Linked DNA regions of Macaca fascicularis. The protein of the gene in region 1 interacts with the protein of each later gene in a biochemical or structural test. Links are inferred from orthologs where the notes say so. Each region holds a gene or a part of one and is shown in the gene's direction. Other genes may lie near its edges.

The links.
Region 2: the proteins of GTF2B (region 1) and GTF2F2 form a complex in vitro, tested with the Homo sapiens proteins (2 studies listed by BioGRID and IntAct). The link is inferred for Macaca fascicularis from reciprocal best matches to the Homo sapiens genes GTF2B and GTF2F2.
Region 3: the proteins of GTF2B (region 1) and CREBBP form a complex in vitro, tested with the Homo sapiens proteins (2 studies listed by BioGRID). The link is inferred for Macaca fascicularis from reciprocal best matches to the Homo sapiens genes GTF2B and CREBBP.

The regions. Positions count from the first base shown.
Region 1 is NC_088375.1:145,803,528-145,807,280, forward strand, and holds the start of GTF2B (transcription initiation factor IIB), read left to right. Parts: upstream 1-1,012; 5' UTR 1,013-1,080; coding exon of another isoform or gene 1,081-1,097; 5' UTR 1,098-1,200; coding exon 1,201-1,358; intron 1,359-1,362; exon of another isoform or gene 1,363-1,580; intron 1,581-3,753. UniProt on the Homo sapiens protein: General transcription factor that plays a role in transcription initiation by RNA polymerase II (Pol II). Involved in the pre-initiation complex (PIC) formation and Pol II recruitment at promoter DNA.
Region 2 is NC_088391.1:24,532,830-24,535,762, forward strand, and holds the end of GTF2F2 (general transcription factor IIF subunit 2), read left to right. Parts: intron 1-1,676; coding exon 1,677-1,796; 3' UTR 1,797-2,345; downstream 2,346-2,933. UniProt on the Homo sapiens protein: TFIIF is a general transcription initiation factor that binds to RNA polymerase II and helps to recruit it to the initiation complex in collaboration with TFIIB.
Region 3 is NC_088394.1:4,558,434-4,562,086, reverse strand, and holds part of CREBBP (CREB-binding protein), read left to right. Parts: intron 1-1,228; coding exon 1,229-1,346; intron 1,347-1,841; coding exon 1,842-2,013; intron 2,014-2,366; coding exon 2,367-2,411; intron 2,412-3,653. UniProt on the Homo sapiens protein: Acetylates histones, giving a specific tag for transcriptional activation. Mediates acetylation of histone H3 at 'Lys-18' and 'Lys-27' (H3K18ac and H3K27ac, respectively).

The DNA.
Region 1 (3,753 bases):
GAAACCTCTAGAGGGTATTCAAACCCCAGAAAATTCTGTAAAGGTAGTCTTGAGCTCCTCTGCCCTGGTCGCTGCCGCTCTGTGGCGTGTACTTTCGTTTTCAATAAATCTGCCTTTGTTGCTTCATTCGTTCCTTGCTTTGTGCGTTTTGTCCAGTTCTTTGTTCAAAACGTCAAGAACCTGAACACCCTCCACCAGTGTTATTGTTGTTAGTAGTAGTGGGATTACTATTTTGACGTTAATTTGGCTAATAAATCTAGGGATATTTTGCATTATCTAGATGTTCTGCCAAGTTTTCTATACGTAGCTATCAGCCAAATTTGCAAAGGCCATGAAAAAAAAAATGATCAGAGTATGACCCATATCGTCGTGCCTCTCATGCACACATTGGTCTCACGTAATTTTGTTTCATCTCCTGCCAATTCTAAAAGGGTATGCAAGGCAAGATACTATAACCTATATAAACCTACATACCCTGTATCAAAACGACGTGCCTAAGAAGATAACATGCTAGTTGATGACAGAGCCTGAAGAGACACCTGTTCTGGATGACCTAAGTGAATTTCTCTTTTTATTTTGAATTCCTTAGAAAGAATCACCCTTGGGGCACATAAGAACCGGCTCAAATGGGAGTGCCTGAAGCCGGGTGGGGTACTGGGGCCGGGGGGTGGCGGTGAGAAGGTGGGAGAGGAAGGGGTGGTTAGACTTTTAGGGATGCAGGCTTTGGCACCACTACGAAGCCAGGGTTTTCTTCGTGTTTTAACTCTGTCAGATTGAGAGTAGCTCTGTTGTAGCCCATTTGCAGGGTTCCCATGAGACTCTTCCTAGGCAGTTACGTTGACTCGCTTAGCAACATAGCAAATTACAGAAACGGAGTAAAAACGTAAGAAATCTCAAAGCGCGTGACGTATGGGATCTCACTGTTCTTGGCCCTTCTCCCGACCCGTAGCCCCGCTCTGTTACGACTGCGTGGGTGAGTCGTCTATAAAAACTCATCTCTGCGCGTCTCTTCGCCACACTCGTTTCCTGTTTTCGGCGGATCTGTTGTGGCTTGTTGCGGGCACCGCAGTGGCCCTGAAGATGGCGTCTACCAGCCGGTTAGTATGTCCGGCCCAGCCCGGCGAGCTGAGGGGCGGGCGCGAGCGCCGCGGGCTTTCAGGCGGCCTCCGGGCAGCCTAGTCGGACTAAGCACCGAGGGGTATGGGAGAGAAGCGGCGGGACTGGCCGACCGGCCGGGACAAAGGCACTTCCAGACGGCAGGACTGTCAGGGTGTCGGAGGGGTTACCCAGCTGTTGACGTTATTGCTTCGGAGTCTTATGTCGTCTTCTCATGTAGACATCACTCTTTGTGGGTCCTGGTGGGCTTCTGTGTCCCTAGCCCTTGTCCTCGTCTTTTCTGAATATTTCAACCTCCCTTTATTTTCTTCTCCTTCTACCTCCGCCCCTCCCCCAGCTTGTTGTTTTCGTCTACGGCCCAAACAACCCGAGGTCCGTAATTTCTCCTTTTCAAAGGAACGGGAAATAGTTGGTTCCGGGTCCCTATCGATCTGACAGCTAGGAAGTTGGGAACGTCAGCATTGGTAAGCCAGATGGAACCAGGTTACCATCACAGCGGGCCTCGAAAGTGGAAGTTAGAGCCATCGGAAGAGTTGATTAGTTCCATGCTAAAGGATTTGTTTACAAATATTGTTGCCTGTGTCCTTCTGAAGAAAATCTTGCATAAGAAATTTAGTTATGTGTGCTGGGAGGTTGCTCTTCAGTATATATTTAAAAATGCAATGTACTCATATCTACAGGAAATGCATGCAGTACCCTCAGAGACAGCCTTTAATCTTGTGACCTGAAAAATGCTTGCAGACCCTAATTATATCTCTCATTACCACTATGAGGTAGATATTAGTATTTTTGCGTAAGTGTAAACTGAGTCATGCCAATGTTGACTTTTCCAAGGATAGTGTTAGAGTGTAGAGTCTAAGATAACCTGTTTCTTGTTATCCACACCTGGCCTTTGGTTAACTAATGCTGTGTTAAAAGTATCAAATTAATTCTACAGGTTCTGGAACTCTGGCACCATTTTTCTGACCCTATCAGCTGTGAAATTGGTTAATTTCACAGTGAAAGCCATTTTTACAAAATAGCCTTTTCTGGTAACTGCCAAGACTTACATTTTATGGTTAGAAGAAAAGAATTTGGGGTGGGATGCGCTTTAGCTAATGTACTGTTTGAACAGAACTCATAAAGCCAGTGACACTCTTGTTTACTGATTCTGATTCTTGGATTGGATGCTCAGTCATTCTGTCTGGGTGGTGGTCTGTCAGGTGAGGCCTCCTTGTAGGTAAATGGAAAACTTTGGCTCCCCAAATCACTCAAATATGACTTAAATTCTGTCATGGCTTTTTAAGTCTGAATTTTTTTCTAGATATGTGCAATTTATGTATCATGGCAGTTATTGCTCAAGTTTTTCTATCAGTGACAAAGTTAAATGTAGAATTTTTATTTTTTTGGAACAGGCCTGGGCTGAAGTGCAAGTGGCACAATCATGGCTCACTGCAGCCATGACCTCCCCAGTTCAGGTGATCCTCCCACCTCAGCCTCCTGAGTAGCTGGGACCATAGGTGCACACTAATTTTTTTAGTGTGCCTGGCTAATTTTTTTATTTTTTAATTTTATTACTTTTTATTTTTGTAGAGACAAGGCCTAGTTACATTGCCCAGGCTGGGCCCGAACTCCTGGGCCCAAACAGTCCTCCGACTTTGGCCTGCCAAAGTGCTGTGGTAACAGGTATGAGCCACTATGCCCAGCCTAAATATATTATTTCTATCTTTTGCATGTTTTTCCCTCAGGAAGATGTATTGTTGCTAGGCCGTGAAACTGGCTGGTGACCTCACAGAAGAATACACATATTTTGAGTTCAAATGTAAGCTTCGCCACTTACTAGTTCCATGACTTCAGGCAAATCATTCTGTGAGCATAATCTTTTAAAATGGGAAATAGGCCTTTCTTGCAGGATTGCTGTGGAGATTGACAATAATAAATGTGTAACACCAGCAATACAGTGCATACCCAATAAATGATAGCTCTAAAATGGGGTTTGGGATTATCTGGTACTTTAGATGTTTTAATGTCAGTGGTGGTGGTTTCCCTATTCCTCCCCATTGTTTCTCTCTGTTACCACCTGCGCCACCCCATTTGTATGGTTCCTCTTTTGTATTGTGGGTAATTTGGTTAAAAGTTTACCAATTTAGCATACTTTTATTTTGATAGGTAACACATACAAATGGTCCAAAAGCAAAATTACAATAGACTAAAACCATGAAAAGTAGTCTCTCAAGTCTCCCCAGATCAGCCATAGTTACTAGTCTTTTGGTGTTTTCCTCGTGCTTATGATTTAACAAGTGTATACAAATAGTTCTAACCTCTCTTCTCCCCAAAAGTGACCTGATTTAAACTCCATTCACTACCTTGCTTTTACCTTTTTTTAATGACATTAGCACGCAGATTTTAAAAGTGGGCAGCTCAGTCACAAAGTGAGCACATACATAGCTACTACCCAGGTAAGGAAATCAGATACCACTAGCACTAGCTAAGACACTAGCAAAGTCTCTGTCCTCAGTCATTCCCCCTCCCTTGAGAAAACCGCATCCTGATTTCTAACACCATCAATTTGTTTTGCCTGCTTTGAAGTTGGCATAAATGGCATATGTATTCTGCTGTCTAGCTTCTGTCAGTATTTTGAGGTTCATCCATGTTACA
Region 2 (2,933 bases), on another chromosome or scaffold:
GGCGTGCACCTGTAATCTCAGCTACTCAGGTGGCTGAGGCAGGAGAATCGCTTGAACCCAGGAGGCAAAAGATTGCATTGAGCCGAGATCATGCCACTGCACTCCAGCCTGGGCAATAAGAGCAAAACTCCGTCTCAAAATAATAGTAATTATTATTATTATCTTTCTTCTCTGAGAAGGAAATTTTGTAATTTATATTGGTCAGCTTATTGTGGAATGCTTTTTGGCCTTCAGCATTGGCAAGCAAAGGTGGAGTTTCGTATTACACTTAAATAGCCATCATTTCCATGACCATAGTAATCGCTTAGTAAATGTTTATTGAATTTTTAGGGACCTAAAACACCATACTACAGACTGTTTTCTTTGGAGAAGCCAAACACAAAGCTGCATCCCTGATAGTTTTGGGGGATGTCTTATCACTTTTTTTTTTAGACAGAGTTTCGTTCTTATTGCCCAGGCTGGAGTGCAATGGCACAATCTCGGCTCACTGCAATTTCTGGGTTCAAGCGATTCTCCTGCCTCAGCCTCTCTAGTAGCTGGGATTACAGGTCCCTACCACCATGCCTGGCTAATTTTTGTATTTTTAGTAGAGACGAGATTTCACCATGGTGGCCAGGCTGGTCCCGAACTCCTGACTTTAGGTGATCCGCCCACCTCGGCCTCCCAAAGTGTTGGGATTACAGGCGTGAGCCACCAAGCCCAGCCTTATTATCACTTCTTATTCCCTTATCTGTGTTGGCAAGCTTGGATAAAGTACAAATAGAAGTAAATACAAATAACAGTTCTCCTTCTTGCATAGGAAAAAATAAGTGGGTGGCCTAATAACAAATTTGAGAACTCATCTGAGAACTGAGAATTCTGGATACCTGTCATATGCTTTCTTGATAGAATATTCTCAAAAATGTTACTCATTTTTTATATATGTTACTGCTCCTGAAACTACTGGTTTCAGTCTGTAAACTGAGTCCATTGAACTCAAGGGCAGATTACACTTGGTGTACTGTGTCACATTGAGTGAGGACCAGTAATTTTTTTTTTTTTTTTTTTTTTGAGACGGAGTCTCGCTCTGTCGCCCAGGCTGGAGTGCAGTGGCCGGGTCTCAGCTCACTGCAAGCTCCGCCTCCCGGGTTCACGCCATTCTCCTGCCTCAGCCTCCGGAGTAGCTGGGACTACAGGCACCCGCCACCTCGCCCAGCTAGTTTTTTGTATTTTTAGTAGAGACGGGGTTTCACCATGTTAGCCAGGATGGTCTCGATCTCCTGACCTTGTGATCCGCCCGTCTCGGCCTCCCAAAGTGCTGGGATTACAGGCTTGAGCCACCGCGCCCGGCCAGGACCAGTAATTTTTTCGTGTATTTCATCTGTGTTTTTTGTGGGGTTTTTTGTTGTCGTTGTTGTTTATTTTAGCTTTTAAGTTGTTGGCATTCAGGACTTTCAACCCCTTTAATGCACATGATCGTATATTTAGTGCAGTTTTTTAGTGCGTTTAGTGCAGTTATCATCGCACATGTAGAATCAAAAGGCAGTTTATTGAACCTCCTTATAGAGAAATCTTGCTGAGCTTTTAGGATCATACTTTTTATGACTTGCATATGTGTTTCGGCATATCACCTTATTTTAAGTTTTGTTCCCTGCCTTTATAATCTCATTTGTTAAGGGGTTTTGTTTTTGTTTTAGGTGTACCTGAAGGAAATCTTAAAAGAAATTGGTGTTCAGAATGTAAAAGGGATCCACAAAAACACATGGGAGCTGAAGCCAGAGTACAGACACTATCAAGGAGAAGAAAAGAGTGACTGAGAAGCCTCCTCGTCAGCATGCTAGTGAAACAGCTAGCGGCGATGCTGTGCTATAGGCGCTGATACTGGAAGGCTTGAACACCGTATGTTAATAATGGTTAAGTGACAATACTTTCATTTCTCTCGGTAAATTTTTTAAACCTGTAATTCTTGTAAAGTTTCTTAACTGTTTTTTTGAGGAGAAAGAACAAATTTATTTATAGACTTAACTTGTATTAAACCAGATTACTCACAATAGGAACAGGGGTTGGAGGATTAAGAGGGTTTTTCTTAAATATTAGCTTTTAATGTGTACAATTAGGAAATGTTTTTTAAATGAGGACTCTCTACCCTTGCTGGATCTGAGGAGCTGAGGTAATACAGATCCAAGGAGAATTGTATAGCAAGAAAAAAAGTCAACTACAGAAACTCTTAAAAGGAATAAAAAGCCAAAGTTCCTTATTTTGAAATTGTCAAAGAACAAAGCGGTGTTTTTCTTTTAAACAGGTGATCATGTTTCGTGTTCATACTCAACGTTAATAAAAGGAGAGCATTTAAGTTTGTAGTGAAATGGCAGTGTTCATGATTAGCTTGTTTTACCGTAGTGATACTGAGGTGAGAAACGTGCAGAATCATGGTCAATTGATGTTTCTTTTGTTTGCTTTTAAGATAGTTAAAAGTAAAGTATCTTTCCAAAATTTCAAGATATGTCTCCCCCAGTCAGATTATAAACTTCTCAAAACTGGCTTGCCCCCAGAATTTTATTGCTCACCCAGCAGACATGTATTGACCAATACATGGCAAATGACACCAGCAAATCAAAAGAGGGATGTAGGGGTCCAGTGGAGACAGAAAAGGTTAGTTTCAGTTCCTGGGGCATTAAAATATTGCTTTTCTCTTTCTCTTCAATTAATTTTTTAATGAAAACAATACATGTATATGTTAGTTTTTTCTAGCACAAATTATTATATATTAAGCAATCCAAAATCATACCATCAAGACCATCAAACAAAACAAAGAAGCTTAAGTAAACTAAGCACAGGGAAAAGTTGTTTTTCACTCATTCATTTTGTCAGCTGCTCCTGGATGCTGCAACCAAGAAGTAGCAAATGCTCAAGTTGCCATAGTGTTTGCAGGAAAAAAAGAAAAAAAATAATAA
Region 3 (3,653 bases), on another chromosome or scaffold:
CTCAAACTCCTGACCTCAAGTGATCTGCCCACCTTAGCCTCCCAAAGTGCTGGGATTATGAGCCACTGCGCCCGGCCTTTTTTTTTTTTTTTTTTTTTTTTCTTTCTTTCTTTCTTAGAGACAGAGTCTTGCCATGTTGTCCAGGCTGGTCTCAAACTCCTGGCCTCAAGTAATCCTCTTGCCTCGGCCTCCCAAAGTGCTGGGTGGCATGAGCCACCACACGAAGCCTAACTTTGTTGAGCTAGTTATTTTAAATGAACTAGACTTATATTCCCTGAGTTTTTTCCATTCCTTATTTTGATCAAATTTTTTTAGTAGTAAGTAGTTTAAAAATCAGGGATTTAAAAATCGTGTTATTCTGGAAATGACCCAGCACATACTTGTTAATAGCAAAATATTGATGTGTTTGATGTGTAGATAAGTTGGTAAGTCAGGATTGTCTCCAGGGAGTTACTTCATTCATATATTGATATGCTGGGCAAGAGAGGCTTGGCATTTCTCTCCACAGTGTATTGCCACCAGAGATACATGATCCTGATTTTGTAGTGCTCATTTGACAGCATTGGGAGTAGCTTCAGGCCAGGTGCAGCAGCCCCCACCTGTAATCCCAGTGCTTTGGGAGGCTGAGGCGGGAGGATTGCTTGAGCCCAGGAGTTCAGGCCAGCTGGGGCAACATAACAAAACTCCATCTGTACAGAAAATTTAAAAATTAACCAGGCATGGTAGTGTGCACCTGTACCTCCCTCCTTAATTGAGAGGCTGAGGTGGGAAGATCACTTGAGCCCAGGAGTTCAAGGTTGCAGTGAGCTATGATCATGCCACTGTACTCCAGGTTGGGTGACAGAGCGAGACCCCGTGTCTTTTTTTTTTTTTTTTTTTTTGAGACGGAGTCTCGCTCTATCTATTGCCCAGGCTGGAGTGCAATGGCACTCAGCTCACTGCAACATCTGCCTCCCGGGTTCAAGCAATTCTCTTGCCTCAGCCTCCCGAATAGCTGAGATTACAGGCACCCACCACGAGGCCCAGCTAATTTTTGTATTTTTAGTAGAGACAAGATTTCACCATGTTAGCCAGGCTGATCTCAAACTCCTGACCTCAGGTGATTCTCCTGCCTCAGCCTCCCAAAGGGCTGGGATTACAAGCATGAGCCAGCGTGCCTGGCCAAAACCCCATGTCTTTAAAAAAAGAAGAAAGGAAAAAAAAGTAGTTTGATGTGTTATCCTTTCAGCGTCCAAGCCATCTTCCCAACACCTGATCCCGCAGCTCTAAAGGATCGCCGCATGGAAAACCTGGTAGCCTATGCTAAGAAAGTGGAAGGGGACATGTACGAGTCTGCCAACAGCAGGGTAGGTTGCTGCTTATCGTGCTCTGGCCTCTACAGCATCTGTAGTAGACAGCACTGCATTTGTCTGCTTTGTTATCTAGAAATTGTGGAATCTGTGTAGTTGGGAGAAACTCCTCACCTTGAGGCCACTGGCCAAAGAGACTTCCCAGATAAGACACAAATTTCCTGCAGAACTCTCTTGGTTAGTTACATTGGTACATGGAATATATAAATTTACATTATGTCCATGGGATATATTTTTCACAGTAGGTGGTGGGTGTAATATTGCTAGCATCAGTGAATATTCAAAAGTTCATTGGTATGAAGTGGGCCGTGTATTTAGTACCTATTATTTGATATGTCCTATAAAGCTCCTGGTGCATCAAGTATTTATTTGCATACTTACTTTTGCCAGTGTACTCAATGAAGAAGTTCATTAGTTGGAACCTACAACACAGATCATTCAGTTGCTTTTTACAGTTTTAACTGTTTCATATTGAATATTGTTGCTTTTTAGGATGAATATTATCACTTATTAGCAGAGAAAATCTACAAGATACAAAAAGAACTAGAAGAAAAACGGAGGTCGCGTTTACATAAACAAGGCATCTTGGGGAACCAGCCAGCCTTACCAGCCCCGGGGACTCAGCCCCCTGTGATTCCACAGGCACAACCTGTGAGACCTCCAAGTAAGCATTTTATTTCCTTCTGCCATCCCTTAGCCTGTTTCCTTGGTTTTCCTTCGTGTTTGGGGTGTATTTCTAAGAACAGAGAATTAGAATCTCTGATGCGTGCACTGCGGAAACTGTTGATGTGGCAGTGGCCCTGACCACCTGCCTCAGGCTGTGTTGGGACACTGAGTTTCTCTCTTGGGAAGGCCCTTTACAGGGTCCGCTGGCATTGGAACACACGTGCCTTTGGACCTATTGGCTGTTTTCCCTTTTAAGTTTGAAGTCCTAATAAGACATTTCCTATTCCTGAATCAAGGATTATATTAAATAACTAGGGTGGTTTTGTTTTTGTTTTTGTTTTGCCGCCATAGATGGACCTCTGTCCCTGCCAGTGAATCGCATGCAAGTTTCTCAAGGTATTGAACTATTTGCTGTGAATCATATTTTAGTTTAACATTCAACAGCCATAACTTTCACTGTTTTTTTCCTCTCCCCCTGTGTATTTCTTTCTAGTCCTTTCTTCTTTCCATTCCTTTTTGCTGATGAGCAGAATTGTTCTACAGGTAGTATGGATCTGTTTATAGTATGAAATTTGGAGATTATAGGAAAGATCTTTCAAGAAATAAGAAGCAGTTTTTAGCTATTTATTTTATTTTATTTTTATTTTTATTTTTTTGAGGTGGAGTCTCGCTCTGTGGCCCAGGCTGGAGTGCAGTGACGTGATCTTGGATCACTGCAAGCCCTGCCTCCTGGGTTCACACCATTCTCCTGCCTTAGCCTCCCCAGCAGCTGGGACTACAGGCACCGGCCACCATGCCCGGCTAATTTTTTGTATTTTTAATAGAGATGGGGTTTCACTGTGTTAGACAGGATGGTCTTGATCTCCTGACCTTGTGATCCACCTGCCTCAGCCTCCCAAAGTGCTGGGATTACAGGCATGAGAGCCCCTGCACCCAGCCTTAGCTTTTTTTAAATTTTATTTTATTTTATTTTATTTTACTTATTTGTTTTGAGACAGAGTCTCACTCTGTTGCCCAGGCTGGAGTGCAGTGGTGCAATCTCGGCTCACTGCAAGCTCTGCCTCCTGGGTTCACGCTATTTTCCTGCCTCAGCCTCCCAAGTAGCTACAACTATAGGTGCCCACTACCACGTCCGGCTAATTTTTTGTATTTTTAGTAGAGACGGGGTTTCACTGTGTTAGCCAGGATGGTCTCGATCTCCTGACCTTGTGATCTGCCTGCCTCAGCCTCCCAAAGTGCTGGGATTGCAGTTGTGAGCCACTGCGCCCAGCCCAGCTTTTTATTTTTTTAATGGATGGTGAAGGGGCATGGTACATTAGTCTTAGGAAGAGTCTGAGAAAGAAGCACTCTAGATGTGGGGAGGGAGTGCTTCTCAGTGCTGAGAAGGAGAGGCATGCAAGACACTCCTAGACTGCTGAGCACTTGCACAGGCTGACATGGGGACGGCACGGGCTGCTCCTGGCCCTAGGGGTTAAGCCCAGCTGGCTGGATGTCAACTTCTGGAGAGTGTGTACACACAGGTCCTGTGCCAGGTTGGGGTGGCAGCAGCTGTCTCAACAACCTTGAAAGTTTCTTAAGTAGAGAGCCTATGGTTTTTGGTTGATTGAAGCAGTGATTTTTATTTCGGGGCAGGGAGCA